Linked DNA regions of Rattus norvegicus. The protein of the gene in region 6 interacts with the protein of the main gene of each other region in a pairwise test. Links are inferred from orthologs where the notes say so. Each region holds a gene or a part of one and is shown on either strand. Other genes may lie near its edges.

What was found.
Region 1: the proteins of Creb3 (region 6) and Tspan4 interact in a two-hybrid assay, tested with the Homo sapiens proteins (2 studies listed by BioGRID and IntAct). The two-hybrid records come from large-scale screens. The link is inferred for Rattus norvegicus from reciprocal best matches to the Homo sapiens genes CREB3 and TSPAN4.
Region 2: the proteins of Creb3 (region 6) and Unc50 interact in a two-hybrid assay, tested with the Homo sapiens proteins (2 studies listed by BioGRID and IntAct). The two-hybrid records come from large-scale screens. The link is inferred for Rattus norvegicus from reciprocal best matches to the Homo sapiens genes CREB3 and UNC50.
Region 3: the proteins of Creb3 (region 6) and Cybc1 interact in a two-hybrid assay, tested with the Homo sapiens proteins (2 studies listed by BioGRID and IntAct). The two-hybrid records come from large-scale screens. The link is inferred for Rattus norvegicus from reciprocal best matches to the Homo sapiens genes CREB3 and CYBC1.
Region 4: the proteins of Creb3 (region 6) and Syngr1 interact in binary tests that used the Homo sapiens proteins (3 or more experiments, as listed by UniProt). The two-hybrid records come from large-scale screens. The link is inferred for Rattus norvegicus from reciprocal best matches to the Homo sapiens genes CREB3 and SYNGR1.
Region 5: the proteins of Creb3 (region 6) and Cds2 interact in a two-hybrid assay, tested with the Homo sapiens proteins (2 studies listed by BioGRID and IntAct). The two-hybrid records come from large-scale screens. The link is inferred for Rattus norvegicus from reciprocal best matches to the Homo sapiens genes CREB3 and CDS2.
Region 7: the proteins of Creb3 (region 6) and Nkg7 interact in a two-hybrid assay, tested with the Homo sapiens proteins (2 studies listed by BioGRID and IntAct). The two-hybrid records come from large-scale screens. The link is inferred for Rattus norvegicus from reciprocal best matches to the Homo sapiens genes CREB3 and NKG7.

Annotation. Positions count from the first base shown.
Region 1 is NC_086019.1:206,018,731-206,021,882, reverse strand, and holds the end of Tspan4 (tetraspanin-4), read right to left. Parts: intron 2,861-3,152; coding exon 2,786-2,860; intron 2,052-2,785; coding exon 1,950-2,051; exon of another isoform or gene 1,927-1,949; intron 1,850-1,926; coding exon 1,718-1,849; intron 1,645-1,717; coding exon 1,561-1,644; intron 997-1,560; coding exon 928-996; 3' UTR 501-927; downstream 1-500. UniProt on the Homo sapiens protein: Structural component of specialized membrane microdomains known as tetraspanin-enriched microdomains (TERMs), which act as platforms for receptor clustering and signaling.
Region 2 is NC_086027.1:47,159,435-47,163,617, reverse strand, and holds the start of Unc50 (protein unc-50 homolog), read right to left. Parts: upstream 2,801-4,183; 5' UTR 2,578-2,800; intron 1,774-2,577; 5' UTR 1,770-1,773; coding exon 1,490-1,769; intron 416-1,489; coding exon 295-415; intron 1-294. Other genes in the region: Coa5 (uncharacterized protein LOC503252), read left to right, coding at 3,035-3,133. UniProt on the Homo sapiens protein: Involved in the cell surface expression of neuronal nicotinic receptors. Binds RNA.
Region 3 is NC_086028.1:106,996,522-106,998,681, reverse strand, and holds the end of Cybc1 (cytochrome b-245 chaperone 1), read left to right. Parts: coding exon 1-108; 3' UTR 109-1,660; downstream 1,661-2,160. Other genes in the region: Hexd (hexosaminidase D), read right to left, coding at 1,822-2,029. UniProt on the Homo sapiens protein: Functions as a chaperone necessary for a stable expression of the CYBA and CYBB subunits of the cytochrome b-245 heterodimer. Controls the phagocyte respiratory burst and is essential for innate immunity.
Region 4 is NC_086025.1:113,515,070-113,519,065, reverse strand, and holds the start of Syngr1 (synaptogyrin-1), read right to left. Parts: upstream 2,801-3,996; 5' UTR 2,750-2,800; coding exon 2,651-2,749; intron 1-2,650. UniProt on the Homo sapiens protein: May play a role in regulated exocytosis. Modulates the localization of synaptophysin/SYP into synaptic-like microvesicles and may therefore play a role in synaptic-like microvesicle formation and/or maturation.
Region 5 is NC_086021.1:140,002,370-140,005,869, reverse strand, and holds part of Cds2 (phosphatidate cytidylyltransferase 2), read right to left. Parts: coding exon 3,432-3,500; intron 399-3,431; coding exon 279-398; intron 1-278. UniProt on the Homo sapiens protein: Catalyzes the conversion of phosphatidic acid (PA) to CDP-diacylglycerol (CDP-DAG), an essential intermediate in the synthesis of phosphatidylglycerol, cardiolipin and phosphatidylinositol.
Region 6 is NC_086023.1:62,612,240-62,616,451, reverse strand, and holds the start of Creb3 (cyclic AMP-responsive element-binding protein 3), read right to left. Parts: upstream 2,801-4,212; 5' UTR 2,644-2,800; coding exon 2,467-2,643; intron 2,382-2,466; coding exon 2,225-2,381; intron 2,151-2,224; coding exon 2,080-2,150; intron 1,975-2,079; coding exon 1,885-1,974; intron 1-1,884. UniProt on the Homo sapiens protein: Endoplasmic reticulum (ER)-bound sequence-specific transcription factor that directly binds DNA and activates transcription. Plays a role in the unfolded protein response (UPR), promoting cell survival versus ER stress-induced apoptotic cell death.
Region 7 is NC_086019.1:102,980,002-102,983,064, forward strand, and holds Nkg7 (protein NKG7), read left to right. Parts: upstream 1-1,495; 5' UTR 1,496-1,639; coding exon 1,640-1,796; intron 1,797-1,872; coding exon 1,873-2,019; intron 2,020-2,102; coding exon 2,103-2,237; intron 2,238-2,348; coding exon 2,349-2,407; 3' UTR 2,408-2,563; downstream 2,564-3,063. Other genes in the region: Lim2 (lens fiber membrane intrinsic protein), read left to right, coding at 19-80.

The DNA.
Region 1 (3,152 bases), on a different chromosome or scaffold from region 6:
ATGAGTCACAAGGATGACCCCTAATGAGAACTGTGTCACAGAGTAGGCCCCTCAGACAGCAGGATATGGGGACTGAGAGTCAGGTGCCTCACAGCTCCTGGGAGCTCATCTTAACCTGAATCCCCATCCCCAGAGTACCATCCCTGTAGTCAAAGGCCCTCACCTACGGCTCTTCTTTATCCCCTAGTTTGATGTCTTGATAGTGGCTTGATGCTCTATATGACTCTAACTCTGGTCAGTGGCAAGGGCTCTGTGTTTCCTAGTGTTGCAATCTGCAGTCTCTCCAGACTAATCCAGAGGCAGAGGTACTAGGAGAGAAATACAAGAGTAACTGAGGTAGCCTAGAAGAAATGAGAGTGAAGAGGCCACACCTTTCCCCAACTAAAACAGGTTAGCAGTGCTCCCCTGAGCTCTGAACTCTCCTGACCCTTGGAAAATGAAAGAACTTCCTCAATTGGAGGCTGTGGCTATACAACCTTTGTGTGCCAGCTAGACCCAGGGACTGCTCACACACTTTATTAAGATGCATCTGGATCCACGACACTGTCATGGAATGTGGATCATGGGACCTGCCTGGAGCACCAAGATCATCGTGGGCCTTGAGCAGACTGGGCCTGCCCCCAACCTGGCATCCATGCAAGGCTGGGGACCCCATCCTGTGTGAACACTAGAAGAAATATATGGATATAAAAGTGTCAAAAGTTCCCCAGGCCCTTAGCCCTGGGTGCCATTTGGCACCAACCCTAATCTGGTGTCTCTGCTGCCACCCAAGCAGAGTCCCTCAGGTGCAGGGATGGGTCCTGGATGCTGTGGCCTCAAGCTCTTCTCCTTGCATTCAGCGGAGCACCAAGTCCTGCATGGGAAGTGGGTTTGACATCTCCTCATGGGCAGGTCCTTTGGCAGAGAAGCAGAGGCCGTGACAGAGACCTATGCACAGTAGGTGTCCGCCTTTACCACCTGGCAGTACATGGTCATAGCGAAGGTGAGGCCCAGAATCTGTGGAGACAAGAGGTCATAGGCCTTTGCCCATAGGCAGAAGGGCTGGTCTTCATTGGTGCCCTGACTCTTGCAAGCCGTCCCCAGGGTAAGTTGCGTTCTGCACATTAGGTCACACCCCTCTGCACGCCTGGTCTAAGCCCTCTGCCTATCCCACTGTACCTACTTGTCCTAGCCGTAGCCAACCGAGTATCTGTTTGCCAGGTGGGTTGTAGGCGCTCCACTTAGCCTGGAGCACCACTCTGCTAACCCTCAGCACTGCTATAGATGGCTGTGAACCTAGGAGGAAAGAGCGGGGCCTGGAGGCAGCAAGGTATCAAGTGCCACCCTCATTCTGCACAGGAGGTCCTGTCACTACCAACCAATATGGCTGCCTGGCTGTGTTGACCCACTAGGTGACAACGGGCTCTGCACAGGGAGTACTGCATACCAAAGGTCACCTCCCCCAGTGAACATTGTCTTCTTACAGTCTGCACTGCTACCTGCCTACCCAGGTCACAGGCTCCTGAGCAAGTCCTCTGCCATTGCAGTCAGGAGTCCCAGGCACTGCCCTGCTCAGCTCACCTGCACCAGTGCTGTGCACAGTCCAAAGATGCCCACAGCTAGCAGGTTCTCCTGGAGCCAGGCCTTCACTGTCTCATAACAGGGCTGCAAGAGAGCCAGGATCAGCTGGGGGAACCCCACCCCTGCAACCACCCACCACAAGAGGGAATACTCTTACCGACTTCCACCAGGTACCAGGTTCATGTAACCCGCAGCTGTCACTGAACTCCAGACAGCAGGAGTCAGGCACACGAGTGGCATTGTATACCTCAAACCAATCAGTGTAATTGGAAACTCCACAGCATCGGAACTAGAAGCAGGAAGAAAGCAAAGGACTGGGTGGCGAGATAGCCACAACACCCACCCCCGCCAGCCTGTCCGCCATACCAAGAAGGCTGCCCAAGCCTCACATCAGTCTGGATGATGCTCCAGGCATTGGTGAGGCCCACATTGCCCTCTGTGCCATACAGATGCAGGCCCTTCTTCAGATCTTGCTGGGCATAACTGTCAATCTGTTAACAGACCACCAGTTAATATCCTCCACTTCAGTCCAAGACAGGACAATACCCCAAACCCCCTCTATCTGAACCTCTTGCTTGTTTCCTGGGATTACCCCCTACCCTAGTACCCTATCACACTTAGGACACAGCCCAGGCTCATGTTCTCCCAGAGGCTTCAAGGACCCTGGTGCAAGCCTTTGCTGCCTCATCTCTATAGGCTCCCCCTGTTGGCTAGGGGAGGACTTCAGTCTTCTTGGTAGTACCGACAGACATGTCTGCTCTCTAGCTGAGGGTATGGCTCCACTCCTAAGTCTCCAGTAAAGGAACTAGGGCACTGAAGGGCAACTCCGGCTTGTACAGGGAGCTTCCTATAGTCCAAGGGTACTTTACAGAAAGGAGGTCCTATGGGGAAGTTGGGGACACAGGAGCTAGCAATACAGCATGATCTATAACCCAAGATCCTAAAATATCTGAGTAAATCCTTCCAGTTGTGTGACCAGGCAGACAGATATGGGAAGTCACATATGACACACAGTAAGCAGCAGTGGGGGTTGGGGTTGTTGGGACAGTCCACACTTAGCAACCTGTACTTAGTAGAGGACCCTGGCCACATATCCTAGGAATTAAGAGTGCTGTTGTCCCACCCATACAACCAGAGCCACAACGTAGATCCCTGGGCTTGTGGTACTTTCTGCACCGAGTCTCCCAGCACCCCATGTACTGTCTGTCCATTTGCAGCAACATACCTTGTCACTGTAGGCAAAGAAGAGCACAGCAATGGTGGCTTCCAGCAGGAACACTAGCAGCAGCAGCACAAAGAACTGTAGAGAACGTGCCTCTTACTCACAGCCCTGCTCCTGGAGTGCCCCAGAACTCCTACCATCACGGAACTCAAGAGCCAGGCCAGACCATCCCGGAGCCTGAATAGCCTGCTGGCCTGATCTGAACATACCCACATGCGTGTACGTCCCCGTTCCCCAGGCTCCTGGCGTGACATCTCTATTTGGGACTCTCCACACCCCCATACTGTTAGACAAGTGGGATATATGTTAGACAAGTACTCTACAGCTGAGCACCACGCCCACTCACAACCTGGGAATTTAAAAGAGATCC
Region 2 (4,183 bases), on a different chromosome or scaffold from region 6:
AAATGGTACCCATGACAAATGTAGTGACAAAGCTAACCAGACGCAAATGGAATCATATATATTAGAAAATCAGAATTTAGCAGGGTATAACCGTTTTGGGATTTGCTACAATGACAGTAAGCACGGATTATTTTCTGACCTAGTACAGACACAGGAGCCGAGTTACAATAATCCTGGCAGTCAATCCAGTCACTTCAGCTACTCTATGTTGGGTTCGATTTTTCACTAGCTGCTGTACTTCTGATGTAAACAAACGGGCTCGGCAGTATGTATGAACCCCCTTATGGTACTTACCACATTAAAGTTGATATGAGAAGGCCAACACCTACACAATCTATGAACACAACCCACAGGAGCAGCTTTATTGTCTCAAAAAATCCCATGTCCAGCACAAAGCCAAATCCTATGGTGGACACTGAAACAAAGAGTTACAAGATTCACTGCCAGGCTCTTGGGTACTAGGCAGTCCCTGGCACCCACACGCCCAGTGTAGCAGAGGTGGTACATAGTGACGAAAACCCTCACAAGGTACATGCAACTGATGTCGAAATAAATGCCACCTCTGAATGCAGGAAAGGAGCAGGGCTCAAGGACTGGTTCACCAGGACACAGGGGACTCAGAACACCTGTGTAGACGGCACTCAACTTAAAGTTCAGGTAAATGTGAAAGGTACCTACTATATACTTCAACACCCTCTAGTTGACTGGGACTGTTGCTGTACTCCAGTTGATGTCCTGGAGAACTTAAAGGTTCTTTTCAAATTCAATCAGTATTTTCAGAACCCTACTCTGAAAGCTGCGGGTGCAGCTCTGTGGTAGAGCACTTGCCTGGTCTATTCAAGCCACTGGTTTCTATTGCTGGTCCAACCAACCCGTGCCCCTCCTCCTGCCAAAAATCAAACAAGACAGACAACAACCTCCCAGCCTCACAGTTCCTGGGGCTGGGGATTTAGCTCAGTGGTAGAGCGCTTACCTAGATAGCGCAGGGCCCTGGGTTTGGTCCCCAGCTCCGAAAAAAAAGAACCATAAAAAAAAAAAAAAAAAAAAAAAGAAACATAGTTCCTATCCTAACATTTCTTGGCACGCAGTTGGGTTTGGGTTATATTAGTCTTTTTTTAAAGTCAGCCAATGTGGTAGAACATGCCTGCATTAAGAGGCCAAGTTAAGAGCATCCCAAGTGCCAGGTCAGCCTGACCCACCCATCTAGAAGCTGTCTCAAAAGAGAAGGAAAAACCCAACTATGGGATGAATCCCATCCCCTACTTTTGCACACCCCGGTACAGTAGTTTACTCTGGCGTGTGTCAAAGCCAGCACTAGGAAGAACACTTTCTTTCTTGCCAGCTTCTTAACGTTTTAGAAAAGACAAACCCCATAGCTTCACACACCCCAAGATTCTGACCCATTCTACATTATCACAGAAGATAAACTTTCATCCAAAACCCCAATTTGTTTTTCAACTATACTGATTGTAAATTGAGACACACTTACCACAGAGCCAGATACTTAGGAGGACCAAGAAGGCAGGGTCATCTCTGGCCCACTGATCCTTCGTTTGCTTCCGGTAGTGAAAGTTTCTATAAACCCTCTGAGGGGAGGTGAACAGGTAGAGCATCTGCCATGCCGCAAACTCAAAGTCCATCTGCCGAAAGCGAAAAAGCCTTCTGAGGTACTTGTAGCGTTTTGCTCCAGCTGTGTGTCTTGCTGCATCCCTGGAATTTAAAGCTCCATTCCCGTACATCGAAGAATTCAAAGAAGTACTTGGTAGCATCTTCCTAGATGGAATGAAAACATTTCTCTTAGATGCAATCTTAAATGTAATGCTTAGCTACTAACACTCCTCAGAGCTATGACATTTTCTCCTGTCACCTTCAGAAAGGATTAAGGACCAGCCAAGTGTTAAAACCATCAAGGCAGTATCATGCTCTCTTGCATCTCCTGAAACTACTTAACTCGAGTCCACGGTTTCCCAACCTTCATGTCAATCAAGCCTTTGGCAGCTGTAGTTGCTTACTACTGATAATGGAGGCCAAGATAAAAGCAATATAGGGATGTGTGATGACTGGAACACTGGTTCAAAAATTCCATGTTTTTAATGACCAAGATTTTTAAAACAAGAACAAAAAAGTCTAAGCTAAAAGTAGGGTCACTGAACAGGTAAGACACACAGCTGATTTGTACAAGTCCATCAGCGATGGCCAGCAAGCTCCTGGCTATTCAGAATGTGACATCAAAAACGAAGCAAACTCCATTCCTTGATGGTTTTACTCCTAGAATAGCCAGGTAGGAGGAATAACTGCGCGGGAGGGTCCAGTCCAACTAGTCCAAAGCTAAGTGACTGCTGGTCACCGCCCAGCCTACCAGCACACCGCGGCACTCCGCCCCGCCCCGCCCCGCCAGCAGGTCTCCATTACCCCAAGCCTCTGTCAACAAAAAATATAGACGGCTCAGTGACATTTCAGTTAAGAACAAGCGGTGACAAGGTGTGTGATTCCTGTGCAAAATTCTAGACCTCCTTAGAACTCTTAAAACGGCTCTAATCCTGCGATTCCAACGTAAACGGGCGTCTTTGGATTTACCCAGCAGCTTCACGGCGGGCCTAGGACTTGAGCTGCGGGGCGCTGGTTGGTCCTACCCCCAGCCGCTCAGATGCCAGGTTGCGAACTGACCGTGGAAACGGCCGTCGGCACGAACGCCACCCCGCGCACACAGAGCAGGCCGCACCTGAAGGCCCACGAGGCCTCGCCTTGGGACCAAGACTACCGCCACCTTAGCCGGGTACGGAGCCCAGTCGCCGCTGGGGCCACTTCCCTTGCCTCTACGTAGCCCGCACTTTTGCGGCGCTCTGTATTTACGTCACGTACACGCACTTCCGCCACGCACGCGCATACCCCGAAGAGTCACAATCCCGCCGGAAGTTGAGGATTTCTCCTACTCTCGCCTCTAGCTTGTCAGTGGGCGTAGCCCACGCCCTTTCGGGCGGTCCAGGGTGACCGAAGGCCGTGATCTGGTGTGGTGAGGGCGGTGGGCCCCGCCATGCCCCGGTATTATGAGGACAAGCCGGAGGGCGGCGCGTGTGCGGGCGTGAAGGAGGATCTGGGTGCATGTCTGCTGCAGTCGGCCTGTGTGCTCCAGGTAGCGAATCTGGGTGGTAGAGCTTAGCCGAGACTGGCTCCATGTTGGCCTGCCAGGGAGGTCATGTCGAGGGTAGAGGTCGCGCGTCCGCTCCTGACTTTGAACAGGTCTCTTGAGCTCTCATCCCCAGTTCTCACTGGTGTTAAATGGGAGATAACTTATTACCCACCTAAGGATTTTGTAAACATTCAGCTATCTCAGTTCAAGAAGCGATTCCCGAGTGCTGGCACTCACTTTTGGGCACTCTCCTCCAGAGACTCGCCTGCGCCTGCGCTGCATAGCTACTTGATCTGTGGTGGAGATTTTGGTTCCTTGGCTTCTGGAGTATGGAAATATCTTATGGTATCCCATAGTTTCTCTCTGCCGATCTTTAACCCATCTTAATCCTGCAGCATTGCATTCTGGGAGGAATTCAACATAAGCCTTTATACTATGTGCTGATACGGGAAACAGTCGAGGAACGATAGGGGCTCAGAGAAACTTAGGGTATGAACTTAGATGGTCATAATATATCTCCCAGTGGGAGATAGGAGAAAGGGGAGTGGGGAGAAGGTTTAGAACTAGGTTTCATGACTCTTGGGAAGCCAGAAAAGTTGAAACTCCAGAGGGAACTCAACAGGGTTTTCCCGTTACTGACCTTGATCCCAGAAGAGCCCACTGCCTCATCTTTCTAGCCCCTCCACCTTTAATAAGGTAAAGCATGTCAGTGAACCTGATTGACTAGACTAACCCGATCTGCCTGTCTCCACTACCCAGTTCTGGGATTAAAGGCTCCTGCCACCACCATGCCCCGTTCTTTGTGTGGGTGCTGAACCGGAGCTTTCATGCACAGCAAGAACTTTGCTTACTTAGCCATTTTTCCAGCGCTCCCCTCCCCCTTAACACTCAAACAGAGTTTAGTACCAACACTGAAAGGTCCTTATTTTAACGCATCCAATTCACAGTTCCCATCCATAGGAAGGCTTATACAAACATCAATGATTTGTTCTAAAAATCTTAGGTTCTGAGGCTGGAAAGATAGTTGGCTCAGTGGTTAAGCCAACTTACTCT
Region 3 (2,160 bases), on a different chromosome or scaffold from region 6:
ATTGCCAAACTCATCACTAGCTTCTTGGAGCTGCACCGCCTGGAGAGCCCCTCAGAACGGTCACAAAGCAGTGACAGTGAACCTGATGGCCCTGGTGGCCAGAGCTGACAGTGTGGAATGGCTGCTGGTGAATGTCACCCACTTCCGATGCGTCTCCGACTGACTTGCCAATTATAAGGGTACAGGCAGACCTTGGACACCCGCCTATGGCTCCTTGGGCAGTCCTACTACAGACTACCCGCCTTTTGCTTGTTTACGCTTCTACACTTTGCAGAACCATGGGCTAGGCCTCTCCCACAACCCAGAAAGGCTGCATCTGTCAGGATGCAGGGGGTGGATGCTACATCCAGGGGAGGGCGAGGTCTCAGAAGTTAGTGCCTTCCCCGTGGCCGCTCTGGGTTGGGCAGCACAGCCGGGTCTGCATAAGCTCGCCCAAGGGCAGTCTGAAGTATAAGATGCCAAGCTTTCTTCAGCATAAGCCTAGTGCCTGCCTTCAAGATGCCTTGCCACCCCAGGATATTGTAGGCAAGACTCCACTTCATAGTGAGAGTGAGACACCCACACGCAGGTAGGAAGGACCCACTCCTGTAAACACTGATGTTTACTCTCCCTGACCATCCCTCAAGATGGACACCCTTGGTGGTCAGGAGCTTCCCTGAAGGCAACTATGGATGCTGAATGCCTGGCCACAGAACTCTCAGAGAAATCAGAGTGTTGCTGACTACCCTGTTCCTTCTCAGACAACTTTGTCTGAGATCCCAGCACTGTTGTAGCACAGCAGGAATGGAAGGCTCTCCCAACCCAACCAGGGAAGAAGCTGCTACTGGAGGAAAGGTCACCTCTTTTGGTTTTTGGCATCCTGCTGTCTTTAAGACCTGGGAGCTCCTTTACAGAAACTGAGTCTTAGCCTTTCAAGCCTTGAAAAGACCTGAAGAAAATAGGCATGTGGAGACACAGCCCTGTCAATCCCAGTGTTCAGAAGTGGGGCGGGAAGAAAGTTCAAGGCCAGCCTGGGCCATGGCCTCTTCTAATAAAGTTGGTACCAACCACTTACGGTCCTTTTCTGCTCTTCTAGTTTCCTTCTGAGTCGACTCAAGTCCCTCAAAAGTACACTGTTTACTAAGTTTCCAGCTAGAAGCTGTGGATCTCTGGTCTACACAGAGCTCCTCCAAGCCGTATACCCATACCTCATCAGGTAGACCTGGGAAATAGAAGAGTTACATAGACAAAGAAGTTAAGGCAGCCCTGAGGCTACTGCCCCTAGGCTGAGCACAGTAGTTAGGCAAGAACTATGAACAGGTCTTCTGAGGTGACTGCTACTAGTCCCAACTTGGGAACATGGTCCCTTGAACATGCTAAAGTGAGCTTTCTAAATGGTTAAGTTAGAGATTTTTCTCCCCAGATGAAATGTGAAATATAGCTTGTTGGTTTTTGGCTTGTTGCCCACAGACTCTTAAGGTACTTTAGACAAGAGAAGGAGGAGTCTGTCTCTTAGGTGCTGTCATATCCCCTTCCAATATTGCCCAGTGCTGAGACTCATTCCTTGGTGAAGGCATGAAATTCTCTATGGTGGTAAAAAGTTGATCCAAGTTTCTGTTGGTGGGACTTCCACTTCCTGGTCTTTTTATTTCAGAAGTAATAAAGCTCTACGTGCAAATTACAAATGTGCCTTTCTGTTTTCTGCTTCACCCAAGGTTACTGTTCATACAGCTGGAGAACCTGTCTACGTAGGGCTCCGCAGGAGGAGCACAGGCCCCGCCTGGCTGGGCCACTGAGAGAAATCTTGGTGTTGTCCAAAGTCATATACAGGGCCCTGGCCCCTCAGGGGTTCTGGCCTGTGTCCCAGCCCGGGCTGGTGGGTGGTGGCTGTTGGGCGGCCGCCTCACCCAGGTCCTGCAGCAGACCCTGCAGTCGCTGCATACTGGGGAGCACATTCTCCTCCAGCCACTCTTCAATGGCGTCCGGGTAGAAGACCGGCTGCAGGGCTGCCTCCAGCTGCTGCACGAGGTTGTTCCACCTGCTTAGAAGGCTGGGGGGAGACAGCATCCATGATTTGCTTTAGCAGTGTTTCCGCTAAGGCTCAAGTTTACATAGCTGCACCCATATGCTCAGTCCCCAGAGCCAGTGCCATTCCATGCCTCCGTTGAACATTGGGACAAA
Region 4 (3,996 bases), on a different chromosome or scaffold from region 6:
TGAGCAAACCTGAGCAAACCAGTCACCTTAGACCCAGAGCCCAGGCTCTCTTAGCTCCGTGGGAAAGTATGGGGCTACCAGACTCCACAGTAGATGCAAAAACCTGAGGACGAAGAGAAGGCATGGGACCCACTCCAGAATACGTTAAGATGTCTATACAGCACAGACTATTCAAAAATATGGAACAGAAACAACACAGCACAACATGAAATTTCCCATTCCCCCCTCCGCCCCCCTCGTTCATTCTTTCTCATCCCACCGTCCACTCCCACCAGAGCTGACGATAGAGACCAGGACCTTACACTTGCCATACCCCCAGGCCCCTCTTCACCCGAAGTGTGTACTTCAATGGTATTATCAACCCCATGTTGCTGTCCAGTAATAAGCAGGTATTACTTTAATAATCAGAAAGGGGGCAAAATTCTTTATCTTCCTTTAAGGCAGTCACAGGTAGCCCAGGCTGGCTCCAGTTTGCTATGTAACTGAGGCTAGCCTTGAACTCTGAGCCATCTGTCTCTACCTCCTAAGTACTGAGATTACAGGCATACACCACTGCTCAAAACCTGTTTTGGTTTGGTGTGGTTTTGGTTTTTGTTTTTGTTTTTTGTTTTTTTGTTTTGTTTTGTTTTTGTTTTTGCTTTTTTGAAACAAAGTTTCTCTGTGTAGCCCTGGCTGTCCCAGAACTCACTCTGTAGACCAGGCTGGCCTTGAACTCCGAGATCCACCTGCCTAAAGCATCCCAGGTGTAGGCATGAGCCACCACTGCCCAGGACCAAAGCTTTTTTAAATCTAGGTTTTAAAAAACATTTTTTTCTCTAGCTTATAGAACATCCCATTGCTAAAACTTTAAAGCGACTGGGGTCCAGGTGTGTGAGCAGAGCTGGGAGGTCTGGAAGGGCTTTGGGCTGGGGCTGAACTTGATAACTTTACAGCCTTTCCAATCTGGAGACTACAGAATTTGCCATCCCCCTGCAGCAGAAGCCCAGTCCTCTGGTGGCAGGAAGACTTGAATTCCAAGGCTCGTCTGCCGTTCCCAAGATCAGTGAGTGGGTGCTAGACCTAGTTAATTTTTCCTCCTCCTGGCGGGCATGTCCTCCTTTTACCTGGACCTAAAGTGTAAGCCCTCTCTGTGTCACTAGAATCAACATGACATCACCTCCATGAAGCACAGCAATTCCACAGCGAAGACCCCTGTCCTGGCTCCCTCCCTAGTAGGACTGTGGGTTCCCTGAGCGTCAGGGCCGAGCCTGAGTCATGCTGCCTTCCCTTCCCTCCGGGCCAGGCAGACTCAATAAAGCTTCACTAAATGAAGCCATCAACAGTAGAAATGACCCAAGCATAAGGAACGCCCACGCCCCTCACAAAGCTTGAGTTTCTACCTCCCAGCCAGGGGCCCCAGAGAGGTCAGAGGAAGCAGTACGAGGTCAACCCACCTGACCAGGCAGGTGCCTCCAGGGTTCCCACTTTACCTAGAGCCTGCAAGGGCTTCTTCTGCAAGCTGGGGAGGGCCAAGAATAAATAAATTCGGTGTCACAAACCCTCACGGATATATATAGGCTGCACGGCCATAAGGAGTTACAGAAACAGGGCTCCCCACAAGGAGGAAATTTAAAGGATTCCTAAGACCAGAATAAATCTCAAGCCATCCCGCCCATCAGATCCTGATATGGCCCTGAAAACCAGGAAAGGAGTGCACTTCAGCAAGCCCAGGTCACAGCTGACTTCGGTTACTAACCCCTAGGGGTCCCTGACCCTTGTCACCAATGCAGGCTCTTCTGGTCTTAGTCAGGAATGGACCCCAGACCTGCATAGGCAAGACCCTCCACGAAGCCAGCCAACCCCAGAGGGCACCAGAGCTACAGGCCTCCTTACCCTAGGGCGCAAAGCCCCCTGTGCCACCCTTCAAGCTGTTTCTGCCCCCTCCTCCGCCCCAGGTTTGAGCTGAGCCCCATTCAGCACTGGGGAACCTGCACGGACTAGGTGGGCTAAAGACTGCGAACAGACAGACCTTCCTGTTCCCCACTGCGTGGAAGGGACCTTTCTCCAGACAACATTTAGAATCTATTCAGGTGTTTGCTGAGGATGAGAGAGTTGCGGATTCATAAAATGTCAGAGCCCAAAGGGGCCTCAAGGAAGCTCCTCCCACCCCTATAAATCGAGAAACTGAGGCATGACATAAGAGGTGACGCTCCCCACCCAGCTTGGAACTGAATATCTCGTATCCCTGGTCTTTTTTGGGGTGGTTCCGTGCCCAAGGTCACGCGGCAAAGCAGATACGGGTCTCGGCGGAACCCAAGTATCCAGGCTCCAGACTCAGAGCTCCGCAGCGTACAGGGTGAGCAACAAAACCTAGTTCCCAGTCCTCGCCCCGAAAGCGCGCGGCAGGTGCAGCAGTGCGCCCTAGAAAAAGATCCACGCCCTGATCCGCGCCCCCAATAAACGGCCTTGAACTTGGGCTCAGTCTCCACGGGCGCACGCGAACCGAGTCGCTAGATGCTGGGCAGCGACAACCTGGAGGTCTCGGCGATGGGGCTAAGGAGCTCGGTGGCAGGGGCCAGGATCCGCTTGGGTCCGCAGGGCCGCCCGGGCCAGGTGAGGTCGCGCCAGTTCCCGGAGCCCCGCGCCCCAGCCCGCCTTGCTGTGTCCTTACCCAAGACACGACGCGCAGGATGGTATGTGGCTGTCGCACCAGGGTGTAGGGGTCGAAGGCGCCCCCGGCTTTGCCCGCTCCGTACGCACCCCCTTCCATCGTGGCTGCACCGCGCGGCGCCCCCCGCTCGGCGCGCGCCACCGGCCCGTGCGCGTGCGCGGCGCCCCCGCCCCCCTCCCCTGCGCTCGGCTTGTGCAGTCCGGGGCTCCCCGCCAGGGGGCGATCGTGCACCGCCCGTGCAGCTCTCCGAAGCTCGCGCTCAGAAAGCGCGTGCAGCTGGGGTCCCAGTGTGGGGCGCGCTCCCTGCCAGCGGGATGACCTTTTTGCCAAATAACGCGTAGTCGGGGTGTGGACGGAGAATGCAGACGCATCTCCGCCTTCGGGAGCCCTCCGGACTGTAGCGCTATTCAGGAAACCCTTATCGTTATATATTTATTTATTTACTCATTTATTTGCCTCTTCTCTTTCGCTGTCTGCCCCAAAATTAAGGAAAGGGGCTCCGTTTGACTGTATATGGCTCCTTGAACCCGTCGCTGAATTGCTGGCTTCAGGAATGATTCTCTCTAAGAGATCTGCAGAGCCTCCTCGCCCCCCCCCACCTTGCTGCCTAGCTCCACCGATGACGTCATGCACGCGCACCCCCACCTGGAGGGAGCTGTAGGGAGGCAAAAACTGGGAGAAAAACAGACCTTGTGAGATTCTCTCCCCCTTCCACCGCAGCTCCCTACCCCTTTCTTTAATCCAGTAATTAATTGTACTTATTTCTTCCACTGTCTCCTCGGTCTGTGGGCTCCTGCTGTTCAGGTTTTGTTTATATCCAAAGGCCTCACAAACATAGGTGGTCAATAAATACACCCAAGCCTCACCCTCCCACCAACCCCAACACAGTTTGACCTTTAGGGCTCCTGGGGGTTTTTGTTTGTTTGTTTTTATTTGTTGTTTTTGTTTTGTTTTGTTTTTGAGATAGGGTCTCTTGTAGAGACTGGCCTCTGGAATTCACCCTGTGGAAGGGGATGGTTTTGAACTTCTTTCTATTCCTCCTGCTTCTTCATCCCTGTGAATGGAGTTTCAGGCCTGTGTTACCATACCCATGAGAAATCTTAGAGGCGGCTATTAAACTATGATCCTATAAAACTTCTAGAAGAAAACAAGAGAAAAATCTTTATAACTTTGTAGATAGGATGATTTTTTCATTTTTTTTAATTTATTTTATTTATATGAGTACATTGTAGCTGTCTTCAGACACACCAGAAGAGGGCATCCAATCCCATTACAGATGGTAGCGAGCCACCATGTGGTTGCTGGGAATTGAACTTAGGACCTCTGGAAGAGCAGTCAGTGCTCTT
Region 5 (3,500 bases), on a different chromosome or scaffold from region 6:
AGGGCAAGACTGTGCTCAGCAACAACCGAATTCCAGACTAATGGATCCACCCGATGACCAAACCCTGCTGGGTCCAGAAGGCGATGGACAGAGGCATGCGGTCAAATGCTCAGGCGATCACAGGGCACAACTAACAAACTAAATTCAGCATGAGGGTCAAGAGGAACATACATTGAGTGCCAGGGGGCATGACCTGGTATGAGGGGTGAATGTTGATGGAGCGGGGCAGGGAAGAGATGGGCGACCAGAAGGGAGGGGCAGCGGGGAAGTTTCCCTACTTTGATTTTAAAGGCCCGCTTGAATCCACTTGCGAAGAACCCTCCAAATGGGCCAATGAGCGAGGCGAAGGTGGAGAGCGCAATGCTGTGGATCTGGAAAGGGTACATCCTCATGGTTTTCTGAGGAGAGTGAGCGAAACCAAAGTCAACAAGTGTGCACATCTGGCTTCTCAGTTAATTAAGAACTTGATAAAACAAGGTCTCTATTTTCTTCAGTCAACCAAAAGACTGCAGGGCTGGAAGACGGTCTGCTGGTCAGGAGCACCTGCTGTTCCAGCACAGAACCTGGGTTGTTCTAATGCACATGGTGGCTTTTTACCATCTAGCGCTCTATTTCAAGGAGATGTGATGCCCTCTTCTGGCCTTCACTGGTACTGCAGGCAAACACAAAAGCACGCACCCAAAGCATTCATACATCTAAAGGGAATGAGTCTTTTTTCTTTTTTTTTTTTTTTAAAGATGTATTTACTTATTCTTTAGAAGTACAGTGTAGCTGTCTTAAGACACACCAGAAGAGGGCATCAGATCTCATTACAGATGGTTGTGAGCCACCATGTGGTTGCTGGGATTTGAACTCAGGACCTCTGAAAGAGCAGTAAGTACTCTTAAATGCTAAGTCATTTCTCCAGCCCAGGAATGAGTCTTTAAAACAAAAGAAAAAAGAAAAAAGAAACAAAAAGAGAGAGACAAACAAAGAAAGAAAGAAAATTGGCCCACGCTTTTAAATCTCTAACGTTTGGCCTAATAGTAGACCATCATGATATTCTGTCTGGAGTGGTGGCATGTGCCTGTAATCCCAGCATTTGGAAGGTAGGAGCAGGAGGATCAGAAGTTCAAGGGAACCCCCAGCTACAGGGAGAATGTAAGGTCAGCCTAAACTGCATAAGAGCCTGTCACAAACAAAGGAGAAACTCTGGAATTAGCTTCTTATGAAGAGAACCCAGCCTTAGCTTCCCAGAGAATATGACAGCAAAAGGATGAGTGTTTAGCAGTCTTCTCTGAGGATTGTGGGTATTTCACACGAACCTAACAGGCACAACTCTGTAACGGTGAGGTGTAAGGTGGGAAGGTTCTCATTAGTCCTACAGCAGGACTGGAGTTCAGATCCCCAGAATCCATGTAAATGGCGAAAGTGCATGGCAGCCACCTGTAATTCCAGACCATGAAGAGGATCCCAGAGCAAGCTTATCTCAAGAACCTGCCTCACCAGGATAAGGCAAAGGAGCAACTGAGAAAGATTCCTGCCATCAACCTTGGGCCTCCACGCTTATGTAGGTATATATGTAAATATGCACACATTCATTCATACATGCATGCACACACACATATAAACATGCACACAGACACACATACATACATATATGCACACACACAGACAGATAGACACACACACATACACACACAAACATGCACACAGACAGACACACACATGCATACATACATATATGCACACAGACAGACAGACAGACAGACAGACAGACAGACACACACACACACACACACACACACACACACACACAAAGAGAAAAGAAATAGCTACAAGCCAGGGGGTGTCCCAGCACTCAGGAGAAGGCAGAAAGATTCCAAGTTCATTGTGAGATCCTCACCATCACCGCCCCCCAAAGAAGCAGGTACAATGTTGAAGCTGAAATCTTCCTAATGGATGTTTTGTGCTTCCTCACAAAACCCATTGGTCTACAATGCACTGTGGGTCCATCTTTTATCCAGACATGACTATGGACCATACCCCGGTCATCTAAGAAATACCAGCTCACTGCTGGACACTTGGTTATGTGGTGTCAGAACAGCTTCTAAGTGCCAGAAACCCATCATGCTCGCAATGATAGGTGCATGCTTTCAAACTTCTCATTTCACCTGAAATGCAGATTTTTATCACTGGTAACAACTGCTATCAGTCACTTCTGTTTAAGCAATAGACTTACGTCATTCTTCTTAAGAAAACTATGTTACACAACCAAATCTTCAAACAGAAACCCTACCCTGAGAGCTGAGCAGCCAGCTGAGCTCACAACTTAAAACAACAGGACATGCCTTCTCTTTGGGACACTCTGTGCCTCAGTATTTGGCAGAAATACTTTCTGTGTATTTTCCATTTCAGTACAGAGAATATTAAAACGGTGTCAAGGATCAGGAATATGTTAATGAAGTTACTAATTTTAGAGTCCCATCGAGGGCACTCACCAGAGTATAACTAGCTTGTGTGCACCTGCAGAGTGAGTAGCATAAAGCAAGCAATGACCTGTTCCAGGGCTGCTGCAGCGCTAACCCCACCCACTGTGCTGCAGCGCTAACCCCACCCACTGTGCTGCAGCGCTAACCCCACCCACTGTGCTGCAGCGCTAACCCCACCCACTGTGCTGCAGCGCTAACCCCACCCACTGTGCTGCAGCGCTAACCCCACCCACTGTGCTGCAGCGCTAACCCCACCCACTGTGCTGCAGCGCTAACCCCACCCACTGTGCTGCAGCGCTAACCCCACCCCCTGTGCTGCAGCGCTAACCCCACCCCCTGTGCTGCAGCGCTAACCCCACCCCCTGTGCTGCAGCGCTAACCCCACCCACTGTGCTGCAGCGCTAACCCCACCCCCTGTGCTGCAGCGCTAACCCCACCCACTGTGCTGCAGCGCTAACCCCACCCACTGTGCTGCAGCGCTAACCCCACCCACTGTGCTGCAGCGCTAACCCCACCCACTGTGCTGCAGCGCTAATCCTACCCACTGTGCTGCAGCGTTAACCCCACCCACTGTGCTGCAGCGCTAATCCTACCCACTGTGCTGCAGCGCTAACCCCACCCACTGTGCTGCAGCGCTAACCCCACCCACTGTGCTGCAGCGTTAACCCCACCCACTGTGCTGCAGCGCTAACCCTACCCACTGTGCTGCAGCTCTAACCCTATCCACTGCCACTAGCTTCACAACCACCAACTCAGTGTCATTAAGAAAATGTCAGCCCAGGGAAAGAGGTGCATACTATTCAGTAAGCAGGATCCTCTAGGAGTCCACACGATAACTGACATGAGGTTAGGAAAGGTCTCCTCCACCCTTACCCTGGCATAAGGCGCAGGGCCCTAGCGAGGAGCTACTATCTCTGGAGGAAACTCCTCTGTGCTATCACTCGTGTAAAGGGCACGTACCCAGCCAACGAGCGACTGGATCACCCCGGGAATGTTGTACTCCTGCAGGCGGAACAGGTCAGATGGCTC
Region 6 (4,212 bases):
GGTGTGTTGGATGGCAGCTAACCTTCCCAATGAAATTCTCTCCACAGCTTTTCTGCCAATAGGCATTCACCTTCTGTGTGGACATCTCCACAGGACACGTGTCCAGCACTTAAAAGCCAGAGTTTTCTTATTTTTATGTGTATAGGTGTTTTGCCTGCATGTCTGTATAATGTATATGTATAATGTGTGTGCCTGGTGCCCACACAGGCTAGAGGACAATGACAGATCTCCTGGGACTGAAGTTACAGATAATTGTGAGCTGCCATGTGGGTGCTGGGACTGGAACTCACGCCCCACGGAAGAGCAGAAAGTGCTCTAAACCACTAAGCCATCTTTACAGCTGCCAATTAATTTAAAAAGTTCCTCCTAAGCTAGGTGTGGTTGTACATGCCTGTAATATCGGCACTTGGGAGGAAGAGGAAGGAGGTCAGGATTTCAAGACCATCCTTGGTTAGGGTAGTTTTCAGGACAGACTGAGTGAACTACAGAAGACTATGTCTCAGAACTAACAACTACCACCATCCTTATCCTAAACCCACATCAATCTTCTAGTTTCCACCCATTGGATTTTCCTAGGCTCTCTAGAATGATATAGAACATCTTTATCTTAAGTACTTTAAACTCTTTTTTTTTCAGAAATTAAAACTGAATAAAGTTAACTCTCATAGTCTCTGATAATGCTTGTCAAACCTGGACAGTAGCCAGGAGTGATGTCATACACTTGTAATCTGGTCCTAGGAAGCTAGAAGCAGGAGAACCAGGAATTCAAAGGCATTCTTTACCTACGACACAGTGTGAGGCCAGCCCAGCCTGGGCTTACAAGACCCTGCCTTACAAACCAGGGCTGGAGGGCGTAGCCAGTGGTAGAGCACTTGGTGAGTATTCCAGAGGTGCTATATTCCAATCCCAGGGGTAGGAGAATTATGGTATGCTTTGGCCAGTGTAAAGGAGGACAAGACAGTTACTGTCCTAGGGACGGAGCCACTATTGATAATTCCAAAACTCCATTTTCTTTCCTATTAACTACTATACTGCTCATTCATCTCGTAATGGCAGGAGAGGGATAGGAGAGGGTTTATCATGTGGGCCAGGCTTGCTTAAACTCAACATGAAGCGAAGTCTGGCCTTTAACTCCTGATCCACCTGTCCCAAATAAGTCAGTACATACATAACAAAAGAAGTAAGACAATAAAAGGGGCACAAAAACTAGATGCAGTATGCTTTCACTTGGGAAGTGACCTTGAGCGTGGGAGGACCTTCCTGCCTCTGCCTCTAGGGTTATGGCAGTGTGAGCCCCTCAAGTCCAGCTTTGTTACAACTTTGTTACAGCTTTGTAACAACTATTGTTGTTAGACTGCTTCAGCCTCTCCAGCATATCTACTCTACCACTGAGCAAAAGGCGAAGTCCCAAGATAGCAACGAAATCTGTCAAGGCCATCATTTGAAGGCCCTTTCAAGGCTCTGTTCTAAAGTTACTCTACATTTAAAAAATTATCTTGGGGCTGGGGATTTAGCTCAGTGGTAGAGTGCTTACCTAGGAAGCGCAAGGCCCTGGGTTCGGTCCCCAGCTCCGAAAAAAAGAACAAAAAAAAAAAATTATCTTTTGTACATGGGGGTCTCTCCTTCCATCACGTGGGTCCTGGGAGTTAAGCAAGGCCTTTTCCTACAAAGCCATACACTGATAATTTTGAAAGGAACGCCAAAATGTATATCAGCGCCACAAGACCAGGATCTACCCTGGTATCTGCTCGTCCCAGGTTCCCACTATCAGCTTCCATTCTGACCTCAGTCCTTTTGTAAGTGATCGATATGAAATAAACTGAGTTTGCCTACTTGGGTTATACAATCCCCCTCCAGCTTTTGCTCTACTACCAGAAGCCTTACCTTAGTGAGAGGAAGTGTTGAGGGCAGAGTGAGCCCCTCCTTCTCCAAAAGCCTTTTCTCTTCCTCCGTCAGTATCAGTGTAGAAAGTTCCTAAGGTTGGAGGAAGAGAGCAGAGTTGCATGGTGATGTCAGAGCAGTATGGGGGATTCTTGGCCGCTGCAAAGTGAGGTAATCCTGAAACACCAAGCCCAGTACCTGCTCTGCTGCTGTCTCCTCCACACGCAATGGATTCATGCGGAACCCCTCCTTTTCAAAGCTCCCAGGATCTGCAAAAGCGAAAGTAGGGCTAGCAAGTTCAGTGAGCTCTCTCTTTCCCCATAACTTAACATTTCACACTCACCTAGATCTATGGAGACGTGCTCCTGTGGAAGGGAATAGTTGTGATCATGGAGAATAGAAGAACTAGAAGAGTTGAGAACATCCGGCGATGACGAGGGACTGAGCAGAGAGCTCAGTAAATCCTCTACCTCCCAGTCGCTCAATTCTTGCACGGAGTTCTAACAAAATCAAAGGCCTTGTTTTATCTCTGTACCTTGGGTCTCAGGGACATCGCTAGCTTCCCCACTCAGAACACCCACCCACCTCGGAAGGCGACAGCTCCAAGTCCAGGGGAGTCTCTATGTCCTGCTCAGTCGCAGCCCACAAATCTCCACTTTCCTCTAGCAGGAAGCCCAGCAGGTCCTGATCACCAGGATCCAAAGCTAGCAGGTCCTGATCACCAGGATCCAAAGCTAGCAGGTCCTGACCACCAGGATCCATTTGGAATATTTATGGATAGAAACTCCTCTGCGCAGATCCAATCTCCGAACCTTAGGCACGACCCCTCAGTCTGTCAAGTCGCATCGACTTAACCTTAGTCACTCCCGGACCAGGGCCTAGCTGTTACTCTATATGCCACACCCGCCTCTCAGCTTCTATTCCCCTCAGCGTCCAACATAACGGAAGTGATGCACATAGTCCCGTGGAATCCTGGGACTTGGAGTTCCCTCCAACTCGGAAGTGGCTTGTGTAGTGCGCCACGTCCCAGGGGCTATGCAAATTATGGGGATGTCCCTTCAGCTTCCCACGCCCCAGGGCGGGGATTCTGAGGATCCGGATCCGCCTTCGCCGCGAGCTATTAAAAAAACCCTAAGAGTCTAAAAGGGAACTCCCGTTTAGTTCGGGCGTTCTCTCCAGTGCTCTGCACCCTCGCTTCCTGCCGGGGAGGGGCGGCCAGGCTTCGCGGGAGCCCGAGCATCGAGAGCTGCGGCCAGAGCAGCTTCCTGCAGTCTCTGCGACCATAGAGCGGACCGCCGGCGGGTGGGGGACGTTTCCAGGACGGAAGTGGACGAGAGTGTGTCGAAGGGAGGGCGAGGCCGGAGCCCCAAAGCGACCGGGAGAACGAGCGGGTAGCGGGCCCAGGGCGGGGCGCAGAGCTGGGCAGCGCAGGTAGGCCGGACGGGCTGGGCTGAGGTTCTAGGTGGGGCTGCGGGATCAGGCCGGCCCGGGAAGCGGCGGGCGGGGCCCCCAATCCTCTTGCATATCCTGTGTCCGGTTGGGGAGGTCAGGGTACAGTACGTTTCAGTTTAGGTTTGAAATTAAGCCAGCCGTGTTGCGAGAGACAGGCCCTTTTCGCGGGAGTAGACAGTTCTCTGTCTCGGATAGTTTTTGGGACGGGTAGAAATGGGGTGGCAGTGAGGCATTGGGCGGGGATGGGCTTTGGTGTTAGCCGATAGTGAGTATGTGGTTAGGAAAACTTTGGGTGAGTTTGAGTTAGGTGCGTCGGGTTTAGGAAGCAAGGATCCCATTAGAAGTTAAGAAGCTGGACTACATTTTAAACATGCATGAGTCAAGTCTCTTTCGTGTTTGTGACATTTAAACTGAGGTCATTATTTTCTGGAATGACCAGCATAAGTCAGTGTACAGGATCGGGTTAAGGATCAACAACAGGAATTGGCTTAGAAGCTCGTTTCAGGGATTAAAGGCCATTGTCATGGTCAGTATTAAGAATAAACAGTGAGAAGGTGAATTAAGAATCAAGGTAGAAATGAGCTTTAGGACTGGGGAGAGGGGCAGTATTTAGGGTTAAAGTTAGGGGATTTGGGCCTAAAAATAAAAGCCAGATTAGTATGGTTGTGTGCTAGGAAAGGGGTAAGTGTCAAAATATAGGGAATTAGGATACAAAATAAAGTCAGGATTAATGTTAGGAATTAGTGATAGCATCAGAGTCAAGGCTGCAGCTACAGCTGAACAGGTAAAATGTAAGAAGTTGGGCAGCAAGTAGCTGCCTTTGTTTTGTAGTGAGCTCTCTTATTCCTGTGTGATCACAGAGGCTCCTTTTATCCAAAG
Region 7 (3,063 bases), on a different chromosome or scaffold from region 6:
AGATGTCTGTCCACACAGGAATTTTCTACATGTGTGCCTACCGGATGCATGAGTGCCGGCGCCTATCCACCCCACGCTGAGCCCTGGGGCGAAACTTGCAGCCGGAAGTTACAACGAGGACATTGAAGAGGAAGGGGAGGACCTAGAGGCCGGAAGTCCTGGTTCCTGAGGGAATGAGGGGGCTCAGTCCTGTATTCTAGCCCCTGACCCCTCTGTCCTGTGTGGGGAGGAAAAGTAGGGTCAAGTGGGAGGGAACTGAGACGAAGACATAAGCCTCCACCTGCACTGAGGGGTGGTAGAAAACAGAAACTCCTTTAGAGAGTGATTTGGGAATCTAATAAAACTGATGTGAAACTATCAAAGTGTGAGTCGTTAAGGGTTGATTTAGAGAAAAGCAGGCTGGGGTGGGGAACAGTGTGTTCTGATATGGTAGCCTCATCCCTCCGTTATACAGGGGTGGGAACAAGATAAATGGGTCCTTACCTAGGAGATAGCCATGGTTTAATGTCTAGAAAAGGATGTGTGGGATTATAGGATGAACAAAGCTTACCTGCTCTTCACCCACCTATGCTCCAGGCAATTTATCTCTCCTCTGATCCCTGGATAGGCCCCCTCACTAGAGACAACACACAGCTCTATCCCCTCTCTATTTTATTTTACCTATTTTTTGGAAAGTCAGGGTCTCATGTAGCCCAAGCTATCCTTAAACTCATTATCCTCCAGCCTCAGACCTCCTGAGTGTTGGGGAGGCAGACCTATGCTGTCACATCAAGAGATGGTGGAAACATTTTGCACTTGCCTGTTGAGGTGTTTCCCACTACTGGAGGACATGACGCAGAGGCCCCCAAGTGACACTTTGTCTTCCACTTCTCACCCTCATCTTGGTGCTAAGACACCTATGCTGGAGGGTCCAACCGAGGTGGTGTGACTTCTCACTATATCTGTTAGATGAGAATGTAGGAAGGTCTTTTCCTCCTCAAGCCTTTTGGAATCCTGTCTGTCCTGAACAGAAGCTTTGACTAGGAATGTGGAGTCTCTGCTCACACTTACTCAAGTCCTTCTTCCTATGGGGCTGGTGTTTTGACCCCACTGCCCCTTTACTGTTGTAAACTCTAATGCTAGAGTCTAGGAGTGCAAAAACCACAGGAAAGTGTGACACAACCGTCTCCTCAGCCACATCTCTCCTTTCAGTTAATTCATACCCTAGTATGATTAGCCCACCTCCCACCTCTGCCCACCCCCTCCAAGTCCCTCCCTAAGAGCTTCCAGGAAATCAGTTGTCTCCAACTGTGGAGAACCTGTGACAATAGTCTAAACCACTACCTAGACCACGAGGGTAGACACCCCCAGAGCAGCCAGCAAGTAAAGACTTCAGCAGGGCCCTCCCCCACCACACAGGAGAGGAGCCAATCCGAGAGGGGAAGGGAAGCCACTCAGGAAGGGAGTGTGAGAAGAATCTGACCAGACACCAGGCCTAAGGCTACAGAGGATTCTCTGACAAAGTCACTGCTTGCTGGCTGTTTCTCTGGCCCAGTGGACTAGAAGTCCAGGTGCATGGCCTTTTCCTTTTTCTAAGAGCCAACACTCTGGGTCATCTGTGTCTTTGTCCCCTAAGAAGTGGAAACCCAGAGCTGTGTCCATGGAGCCCTACCGGTCCCTGGCCCTGCTTGCTGGCTGTCTGGGCCTGATTTTTTCACTGATTGCTCTGAGCACTGACTTCTGGATAGTGGCCACCGGCCCCAACTTCTCTGCCCACTCTGGCCTCTGGCCAACAAGCCCAGGGACTCAAGTAGCAGGTAAAGGGGCGATGGGCTCTTTGGCGGTGGGTATGGCTAGTGGGAATGGACACCCAGAATCATCGTCTCGCATTAGGTTATATCCACGTGACACAGGTCTGCTGTATCCTGGCTGCCCTGTGGGGCCTGGTATCCGTGAGCTTCCTGGTTCTGTCTTGTATCCCATCCCTGTCTGCTCCTGGCCGTGGCCCTATGGTCTCAACTGTCTTGTCTTTTGCTGCAGGTATGAATAGGATCTGGGCTGCACTGGGACACCTGGGCTGGTGAATACAAACCAGCTCAGCTGTCTCTTGTTCTTGTCCCCAGCTCTCTCCATCATAGTGGCCATGGCAGTGTACACCAGCGAGAGATGGAGCCAGCCTCCATCTCCCCAGGTCCAGACATTCTTCTCCTGGTCCTTCTACCTAGGCTGGGGCTCCGCCATCCCTTTCCTCTGTGCAGGTGACTACTCTAGCCTCTTCCCTGGGGGAGGACCATGATGAGGGCTGGGGCAGGGAAGTGCAGGGCACTCAAGTACTTAACCTCCCATCCCCCCCTCTGTCTCCACACCAGGCTGCCTGAGCCTGGGTGCTCACTGTAGAACCCGTCGGACTGAGTACGAAACCTTGTGAACAGAAGCCAAGGACATCAGGGTCAGCAGGATGTTTGGAGCCTTGTCCTCTCAGAAGCTATAAAAGGAAGGCAGAATTCTGTTTCTGTCCCTCCCACCTTGCCTTATCCCTCAATTGCTTTCTTCACACACTCAATAAAAGCATGCCGAGATCTAATTGTTCCAAGATCAGTTTAGCCAAGACCTAGACCTAGCCAGGCTTCTCACCCCAGTTACTCAGGTGGCTGGAGAAAGGAGCATCACAACTTCAAAGACTGCCTGGGCAACATAGTGAGTTCGAGGCTGGCTAAGGCACTAGGGCACCAGAGTGAGACCCTGCCTCAAGGTGCAAAACTAAAAAGAGAGCTTGGGTTATGGCTCAGTTGTAGAGATTTGCTGAGCATGAATGAAGTCCAAGTTGCATCCCCAGCACCTAAGTCAACCATACGTGAGCCTGAGCTCTCAAGGAGGGTTAGAACCATGCAGACCTACCTACCTGCAGCTTATTTTTGCCCTGTGTGGACATAATCTCCCTCTTGTCTTTAGTGTCTTTCTTTCTCCTGATTTCTATCTTTCTCTTTTCTTCCCCAAATGACCACCCTTCTCTGTGGGTCCACTCTGGGGACATTGATATGCACCACACCCAAGCTCTCTTAACCACCAGCCTTTGTCACAGGC